2 linked regions of the Arabidopsis thaliana genome follow. The protein of the gene in region 2 interacts with the protein of the main gene of each other region in a pairwise test. Each region holds a gene or a part of one and is shown on either strand. Other genes may lie near its edges.

Evidence for each region. The genes of interacting proteins can lie anywhere in the genome.
Region 1: the proteins of ADA2A (region 2) and tny interact in a two-hybrid assay, tested with the Arabidopsis thaliana proteins (one study listed by BioGRID).

The regions. Positions count from the first base shown.
Region 1 is NC_003076.8:8,986,042-8,989,912, reverse strand, and holds tny (Integrase-type DNA-binding superfamily protein), read left to right. Parts: upstream 1-2,014; 5' UTR 2,015-2,280; coding exon 2,281-2,937; 3' UTR 2,938-3,371; downstream 3,372-3,871. UniProt on the Arabidopsis thaliana protein: Putative transcriptional activator.
Region 2 is NC_003074.8:2,469,322-2,475,084, forward strand, and holds ADA2A (ADA2 2A), read right to left. Parts: upstream 3,775-5,763; 5' UTR 3,742-3,774; coding exon 3,689-3,741; exon of another isoform or gene 3,587-3,688; intron 3,461-3,586; coding exon 3,399-3,460; intron 3,316-3,398; exon of another isoform or gene 3,315-3,315; coding exon of another isoform or gene 3,263-3,314; coding exon 3,060-3,262; intron 2,932-3,059; coding exon 2,866-2,931; intron 2,780-2,865; coding exon 2,654-2,779; intron 2,576-2,653; coding exon 2,503-2,575; intron 2,397-2,502; coding exon 2,336-2,396; intron 2,247-2,335; coding exon 2,188-2,246; intron 2,034-2,187; coding exon 1,983-2,033; intron 1,896-1,982; coding exon 1,667-1,895; intron 1,578-1,666; coding exon 1,367-1,577; intron 1,275-1,366; coding exon 996-1,274; intron 888-995; coding exon 693-887; 3' UTR 510-692; downstream 1-509. Other genes in the region: AT3G07730 (uncharacterized protein), read left to right, coding at 1-285; AT3G07750 (3'-5'-exoribonuclease family protein), read left to right, coding at 4,165-4,287, 4,380-4,436, 4,525-4,617, 4,819-4,897, 4,992-5,116, 5,424-5,567, 5,658-5,763. UniProt on the Arabidopsis thaliana protein: Required for the function of some acidic activation domains, which activate transcription from a distant site. The exact mechanism of action is not yet known.

The DNA.
Region 1 (3,871 bases), on a different chromosome or scaffold from region 2:
TTTTGGAATTTAAATCTTAAATTTGTTTGACATTAAAAAAGCGTTTAACTCCATTGTTTAAATTCAATACGGATGGTCCTTCTAAGAGGAAACCTTGCATGATCCTGCAAAAGGACTATACTTTAATTATAATAAATATGATATTTTATATGTTAATATACCTAATAAATTGTTTTATCTGACATAAATTTTTACATTGTAAAAAAATCATTTACGTTTTGATTAGGTATGCTAAGTGTTCGATTCTGAAATTTCACCCCGTTTAGTGTCTAACGATTTTTCGATCGTTAGATATTATATATCAAAATCGACTGAAAAGATTGTTAAAATTCATAAATACTTAAGCACTGTCTACAATTATTTACAATTTTTGGGGCTACATCATTACAATGCAATAATGTCAAAGAATCATAATAAAATTATTTCTGTCGAAATAATTAGATGCAAGGATCTCTTGGATAAAAACGTGCATGCGGAAATCCTTAAGAAAGTTTAGACTTGGCAGCTTTACAATCTCGAATCAACTTAAATTTATCGAACCTGATATGCGTATGCATATATAAACACACATGCTAGACAAAAAAAAGTATTTGAATTTTATAGTTGACAAAAAATATATTCGAATTATATGTATAGATAATGAGTTTGTAGTGACAAGCATGATGATGCATTGAGATCACGATAAGGGATAATTGAACAGTAAATTTGCGATGAAAACATTAAAATAACTAAAAACAGTTGACACACCATTTTCTCCGCGAAGAAGAAAATTCATAAAATCTAATAAAAAGTCACGATCATGTATTAAAATAAAAGATTATTATGTCGGCTCTACACCAAAATAATTTATCTCGTTATATCGATGTTTTCTTGATTCTTGAATTCTAAAGGGGACTTTTATTTATTTATAAATTGAGAACTTTAATGAAATTTGCTTTTAGGAAACACGAGAGATGATTAGTTGCAAATAAGATCCTCATCTTCTACATAATTACATTAGCTCTAACCTTATTTTTCCTTTGTTTCAAAAATCATAATAACCTCTTAAAATAAATAATACAATTTTAGCTAAGTATTATAGCAGAATAATAATCTCTATGACACATGATAAACACTTTAAGTACTATACACGATTAACAACCATAAAACGCTGAATATATGGTTTGATAATTTAGTGATGTGTATTTTTACCTTTTTATCTTTTTAACAAAATAATAACACATATATGATTAATGAATAATGTATTGAATTTGTTTCTGCTATATTTTACTATTAATAACATCATAACGTTTTCATGTTTGTTTGACAAAAAAGTTTTCATGCTTTCAAAATTTGATGATGTTATATGCTATAACTGTATTAGAAATATAATTAGATAAAAACGAAACATTATTAATATATAAAAACAAATCTTATATTGTTTAGCTCGACATTTAGATTATTGTTTTCTGAAGTTATTTTTGTAAACTTTTTATCTTCAAATTGAATAACTAATCATAAAATTAGTTATTAATTAATGTATGGCTGATAAAAAAAGAAAACAAGTCTTATACTAGCTTTTTATAATAACTTGTGGATACTCTATTATAAAGAGTTTTTACTTCTTGATAATTGAGTTGTTACATACTCCTATTATTCATACGACATACAAGTCGTATTTATAGGGTTAGGATAAGTTACCAAAATGTGGAATCACTTGCAATAAATGTGAAAACTTGTGGACTGTTGTCACAACTATTTATTATATTTAGATCTCACACAAAATTTGTTCTGTCAAGTGAATGTATCCAACATGAAATTGGCAAAAGCCAGCTATAAACAAAACCCAAAAAAAAAAACCACCTCTCTCAATAGTAAACAAAAAATAGGATAATAGGGTCATCTAAACACAAGCAAATATGGACTTATGCTGTTGTCATGATAGATAAAAATATGTACGGGTCTTTTAAGAGCATCAAATCAATTTAGCCCGTGGGTCCTTTTTTCTTTTACTTACTTAAAGACTTAGTGCAATATTTGTCCCATATCTCCCTTTACCCCTACCACACCCCACCTCCACCCTCAAACAATTGTTGCATATAAATAAGGAAGTGATTGATAAATGTAGAGACAAATACCCATCAAACTCTGTCTCTCACTTTCCTTCATTATTTACTCATTGCCCAAAATAATTCATTTATCATATCCTCAAACTTTTTTTTTTCTATACCTCGAAATCCAAAAAAATAAATACATTGGTTTAGTGTGGCATTGATGTTTTTGGTATAAAGCTCTTCACCAATGATAGCTTCAGAGAGTACCAAGAGCTGGGAAGCTAGCGCAGTCAGACAAGAGAATGAAGAAGAGAAGAAGAAACCGGTTAAAGATTCCGGTAAGCATCCGGTTTATCGGGGTGTCCGAAAGAGGAACTGGGGAAAATGGGTGTCCGAGATACGTGAACCTAGGAAAAAATCCCGAATATGGCTAGGAACGTTTCCTTCCCCGGAGATGGCGGCGCGTGCACACGACGTAGCCGCTCTTAGCATCAAAGGAGCCTCCGCTATACTCAATTTCCCTGACCTAGCCGGCTCTTTCCCACGCCCTAGCTCGCTTAGCCCTCGAGACATCCAGGTCGCGGCTCTCAAAGCCGCACACATGGAGACCTCACAGTCTTTTTCTTCTTCTTCTTCTTTAACGTTTTCATCTTCACAGTCTTCTTCTTCGCTAGAGTCTCTCGTGTCTTCCTCCGCGACCGGCTCCGAGGAGCTAGGGGAGATTGTAGAGCTCCCAAGTTTGGGATCGAGCTATGATGGTTTGACTCAGCTAGGTAACGAGTTTATATTCTCTGACTCCGCAGACTTATGGCCTTATCCACCGCAATGGTCAGAAGGTGATTACCAAATGATTCCTGCCTCGTTATCACAAGATTGGGATCTTCAAGGACTGTATAATTATTAAGTCATAATCATAAAAATATACTAGTAATGCTGTGTTTAATAATTACTTTTTAATGACCCCTTTATTTTGTATAGGGCGGCTTTAGGTTTATTTGTCTTTGAATCTTCTTTTCTCAATTTGTGGGTGTGAGAGAGCTCGATATATGAATACTTGTACATACTTCTCATAACATGTGTTTTTTTTTTCTTAATAAATGTGGAAACTTTGGAAATGAATAAATTGGACTAGTAGCCAATGGAAGCCACGTACCTTTCTATTTTGAATGTAGGTTAATGTTAATTTAAACGTAATACTGTTGTTTTTAATAACATTGATATAAAAACTATGTAGGTTGTTGATTTAAAATTATTGAAGATTCCTTTTCAGTTTCTTGTTTTCCCCCTTAGAGTTAGAGGTTAAAACTTTCTTCTGATTAAGCATAAATTAATCTTGACCAATTGTTTGTTTTTGCCTTTTCCTGTTTCCACTACCAGTTATTGAATTTTAATATTAGTTGATATATATTAAAATATCCAAACACTTGAATTATTTTGCATTCGAGTCTTGTTGTATTCTAATCAAACAATGACTTTTACTCATTGCATTTCCTTTTGCGACCCAATAGTAGTACAAAAGAATCTCCTCTTCGGTCTCTGGAGCACTAAGTTCAATATTGTGTAATATTGTAATACAAGTGTAGTTAGTTTGATACTATGTGTAAATAAATTAATAACTGTAATGAATGGTTCAAAATGGATCCCACTTTGTTTTTTTTTTGGTCACGATCTTACGTATCTTTTCTTTTTCGTCGTTGAAAAAAGGCTAAAAACTTTAATGATTAACTGTAATTAGAATTCCTCACTATCCATTAATCTTATTAAATAAAAACAGAATCTATTGAAATGACTTCTATATAATCAAAGATTAACATATAATAATAATAAATTAACGTAAA
Region 2 (5,763 bases):
GATGAAGGAGAGATGAAGCAGCTCCATCGTTACGTATCAATCCATAAAAAAATGACTCGATGCAGAGAACTACGAAAGGGAAGAGGATCTGATTATGAGACTGACGAACTGGGACAATCTTATCTAGAAAGTTTCCCTGATTTCGAAAAAGAATACAAGCTTGTGGTTGGTGTTGATAAGGCAAGAGCTTTGAAGTTGCTGCGTGGCTTTTTCTTTTACTTGAAATATGTTTCTCATGATGGTGTTTTCAAGCCTTGGGAGAAGACTCAAAGTTGGCAACCTTAGAAATGGTAAAGCTTTTGGCTTCATGTAGATTAAGTTTTTGGATTTCTGTCTGTTTTTTTTTTTTTCTTTGTTGTTGGATGGCAATCTGATCCAGTGTAGTTTCTTGTAACCAAAGAATCTGGTTTTATTTAGGTTTTTCCTGAAAACTGATGCAATGTCTCAAGACTTTCTGATCTCATATAACAAAAATTGAAGGAATCAGATGAGTGAAGGCATTACAATATTCAGTTTAAACGTTGTATCAAAAAATCTGAAACAGCCTTTGAAGGTCATAACAATCAGACATTGTCAAGTTGTCGAAACTAACAGAGAACAAGATGTGTAACCAAAATCAGCATCACCTTCCTTTATATTTACATGGCTAATATATGTTCGAGAAGTACATGTTAGGACCATGAAGCTATGAGTCATGTTGAGTCACCTATTCCCTTATGAACCAGCATATCATATACTCTGTCTACTTTACTCGGCTCTACTTTGAAGAAGCTATAAGCATCAGACTTTTTCTTTATCTGCCCCTTCTTTATTTCTCTTGTTAAGATATCCAACATCTTCAAATAGTGTACAGGCAGTATTCTGGTCTCATTGCACATCTTCTTTTCCTGCACAAAAAACAGCTTCAATCTCTCAAACCATAGGAATAATGTCAACAAATCAACAAAATCACAAATAAGATGACAAACATCAAGTTTGAAAATTATTGTTCTTACGGTCTCTGAGAGTAAGTCAGCTCCAAGGAGACCATCAACATCCCAAGTGTCCAAACCGCTGTATATTCTTGGAGGTGTGACCTTTGGCAGTGAGTCAGAACCAAAGGGATGCAAATTTCTGGGTAACCCTCTTGGACTTTTTAGTGTTTTACCGGCTATACTGCCTGGTGCACCGTGGTTAAGCCGCAGCAGCATACTTTCTTCAGCTTCCTTCTTTCTCTTCTCTTCTATAAATCTATTTGCGTCTGAAGTTGTCCTGCAACCAGCAGTTCTAGCTTCCTGCAACATTTATTAAAAGCTCAACTTAATGTTCCCACCTAATTGAGTTTGTAATCCAGTACTCAAGCTTGGTAAAATTTTAAGCATCAAACCTGAAGATCCTCGATTCTTCTGAGAATTTGGTGCTCTTCAATGACTTTCTTAATCAGTTCCTTGTGCTCTTCTTTGGATTGGAACCGCGCAAACACTTTACAGCTTTTATATATTTTTCTCTCCTCTGCTGAAAGGCTCATCTCATATTGATCAGGGTACAACAAGTTTCTTTCCAGAACAAATTCCTTCCTCCGCTTCCTCTCATCAAGCCTGCCAACAAAGGCACAATCTTGGCTTGTAGCATTGGCTTATGAAAAAATTCTCCGGTTTAAAAATGGTTGTTCCTGTGATAAGTGTACCTTTTCGAGTAAATACGAAGAACCTGCAGTTTCTGCTCACGCTCAGCATCTGTGTCAGAATCCTTAAATTCCATGTCAGCAAGCAGTTGCTCAGCATCGTTGTCATGTTCGATCTCAAATTCTTCCCTCTTTAGATTGTAACCATATAACTCTGTTACTAATGGAACTTTCTCTCCAGGAAGTCTGAGTTTCTTCTCCCCGACACTCCTGTCAGATTGTTGTTTTGCAGCTAAGACACAAGGGCCGTTAACTACCTTTAGTTTTTGTTCGCGTAAATATCACTTTGCATAAAAACTTGTTCCAGTATATAACAAACCTTCCAACTTGATGATGTCCTTAGCCTGCGGTACATTGCCTTTCTTCTTGACTGTACAATAAAAAGTATTACTTTACATATGGAATCATGGAAGAGATAATATTTGGGGTCGTAGTACGAAATGCGGATGATTTGCGTCCTTAGCCATAAATCTAAGTGCAAATAATGTCTACAATTTTATATAGATAAAAGCATTTTCACATACCTCCAGCTAAGGCAGACAAAGGTGGATCTATTTCATTGACCTTCCCTGAAGCTTCGTGTCTGCCCATGGAAACATAATAGTACTTTTAAAAAGGTGCATTCAACATTGTAAACGTAGGTAAACTATTGTTACAAGCATAAGTATATACTTGATTTCAGCTGACACAGGTAACTCTTCTTTTGGAGATAGCCTCACAAATGCAGGTATTTCTGTGACAAATAGTAAACAGAGCTCAGCATCCTCCTTTTTTCAGTCAAGGTTAATATACGAGTCCCAAATCAACAAGAAACCCCGCTAATAGATTTTAAAGCTGACCTGTTTTGACTGCACTATCTTTACTCATAGCAAGCAGCTCATCTTTGCTCTTTCCAATAGTATGGGACAAGTCCTACAGAGCGGGGAGCTAGAGTAAATAAACAAGCTAGGTTCAACTATCTGACGATCATGTGTTTTCATCAGTCCTTACCGGAAGTGGAAAGCATGGTGACTGCATGTAAGCAGAATTGAAGTGTTTAATACATTCTGTCGTTGTCTTACTACCAACATGGTCTGCAACTTCTTTCCAATTGCCAAACCCGTATGTCGCAATGGCCTAACACAGTCAATTTACTTCCCAATAGTCAGATGGAATCTCTATATAGACATGGGAGTGTACAATCAGAAACGATTAATGATTACCTCAAGAAGGAGTATCTCTTCATCGGCATTCCAATCAGAAGTAACAAGCGAAAAAGACAAATTGTCCTGTCAAACAAAAGGGTAGATTCAATACAAACAAAAATACAACCATAGAACATTTTCTTTGTTTTAAACACAATCACTAATCTAATTACTTTTCAGCTGACAAAGCGTTGAATTGAATTCAAATATACTGCTCGGCGTTGGAAACTAACCATAACACGATATGGGTGACTGTTCTTGTGACGATTAAGTTCAACGCCGACAGAAAAGCATTCCACACAAAGATCAAAGTCCATACAAACAGCACATTTGAAACGAACCAAACCAGACAGATCTTTATCGCAATAGTTACAACAGTAAAGGCCAGGTTTCCTCTCATTCCCAGCTTCAATTCCTACAATGTATTGGTACATGTAAGAACTTTTGGAAAACGCAGCTTGGTACATGATACATCAATGCATATCTATCCACAGCAGAAACTTTAGTCCTATCAGTATCACACCTAATTGCACAAGTAAACGGAAACCTACCGGTGGAAATTGATGCCGCAGCATTCTCAGGACCCAATGATATCTTTTTCCTTTTTGATTTTCTGAAACAGCCAAAATCATCAAAATTAGGATAAAGACAAGAGACGACAGCAGTATGAAATCAAGAGCCACCCACAAGTACCAAAAGAACTCCGATTCAGATAATCAAACACAGCTAAGTGGATTACCAGATATTGAAATGTTTTCGCAAAGACAAGTAAGTAATTGAACAGAGAAAACCCTAGAAGACTTCGAGCTAAGATGGACAAAGAACGAAACTTTAAACGAACCCTGGATTCAGGTCTTCCTCAGCAGGACGAGAAGCTAGTTTCGAACGACCCATCGGCACCAAGCTCGCACTTCTTCCCGGCAGATTGAAGAAAAAACCAGAAGAGCGAGAAAACGCTAAAAAGCAGTGAAAAAATGGTAAGTCGGTAAATGACTAAATTACCCTTAACAAGTGTCAATAATTATGTTCACGCCATCTTTAAACCCTACGGCAGTTGTCAGTGGTCACGTCTCTCTCTTAACCTAACCAATCCAAAGTTGCCGCTAGGGTCACCGGAAAACTTCAGAGTTGTGTCTTCTATTGAATTCTCCGGGAAGGTAAAGAAGATTAGTGGGTTTTGATTGTGCTGTATAAAGATGTGTACTTTGTTTGAGCTGTCTCTTAAACCCTAGCACCAATCCGTGAACCTTGAAGTTTGTCATTCCGGTAGAAATTCCTCAGCAGTTGATCTAATTCGTTCTCTGTGTAGTATTAGTGATGGGGCTTTCTCTTGGGGAACAACATTTCATTAAAGGTGGGATTGCTCAAGATCTTCGAACTGATGGTCGGAAAAGATTGACTTACCGTCCTATCTACGTCGAAACCGGTGTTATTCCGCAGGTAGTGTAATCTCCTAGAGCTCGTCCGCTTCTCATTGTTGCTTCCCAGTTGTTTAACAGATATGTTCTTTCTCTTGTTTTTGTTGGCTCTAGGCTAATGGTTCAGCGAGAGTTAGAATTGGTGGAACCGATGTGATTGCTAGTGTAAAGGTACTTCCTTTGTTCTCTCTGCTACTGTTCTATTGTTGAATGGGAAGTGCTATTGTAGATGTTACCCAGTAATCTTGTGTAATTGCAGGCTGAAATTGGGAGGCCAAGTTCACTTCAACCCGATAAAGGAAAGGTTGCAGTTTTCATTGATTGCAGTCCAACAGCTGAACCGACATTTGGGGTGAGCTTTTCTTTTATTTCGTTTGGTTTTGGTTCTATCTAGCACTTGTCACACCCGTTCTATCGTTCTATTGGTGTTTCTCTTACTAGTGGAATTGTTCAACATGAGATTTTGGTTATCATTACTTTTCTTCAGAATCTCCTAAATTCTACTGTGTTAAGTCTTTAGGCGGCTAATTCTTTGTGATATGTTGTTACTTAGGGGAGAGGAGGTGAGGAATTGTCTTCTGAGCTTGCTTTGGCTCTTCAAAGATGTCTTCTGGGTGGCAAAAGTGGAGCAGGTCTGCAATCATGTTTATGCAATGCTTTTTTTTACCTGCACACTGTTACGCTTTCTGTTTGTAACGTTTATAGCAATTCATGTTTTGGTACCAGGAGCTGGAATAAATTTATCTTCGCTTTTAATCAAAGAAGGAAAAGTTTGCTGGGACCTTTATATTGATGGTCTTGTCATTAGTTCGGATGGGAATCTATTGGATGCCCTGGGTGCTGCCATTAAGGTAATTCTTGTGATGTGTGTTTGGTTTTCTCTCTTAACCCTTAGTCTCAGGTTTTAGTTACGAATGTTAGTGAGTAAATCATACCCATCAATCAGAATCATGAGAAAGGAAAGGCCAGAGAATATAGGAAACGAAAGGGAATGGGTCTTTAGTTAAGTGTATATAGATTAGCTCAATGTAGTTGTCTTGTTATTGGTTTTAGTAGCTTTACGATATGTTTCCAATTGATAGTTTAAGCAACCCAAAAGTCATCTTTCCTCAAGGCTGATCACATGCTTTAATGCACTTGTTGACTATACTCCTGCAGGCTGCTTTAACCAACACGGCCATCCCAAAAGTCAATGTTTCAGCTGAAGTAGCAGATGATGAGCAACCAGAGATTGACATCAGCGACGAGGAATATCTTCAATTTGACACTTCCAGTGTCCCGGTCATAGTCACGTTAACAAAAGTAATCGAATCTCACTTTTCTTGATTCACATCGACATCTTCTTATGTACATTTCGCTAATCTTTTACCATGCTGTCCTTGGTTTTTGCAGGTGGGAACGCATTACATAGTTGATGCAACAGCAGAAGAGGAGTCTCAGATGAGCTCAGCTGTATCTATATCTGTGAATCGGACAGGCCATATATGTGGGTTAACCA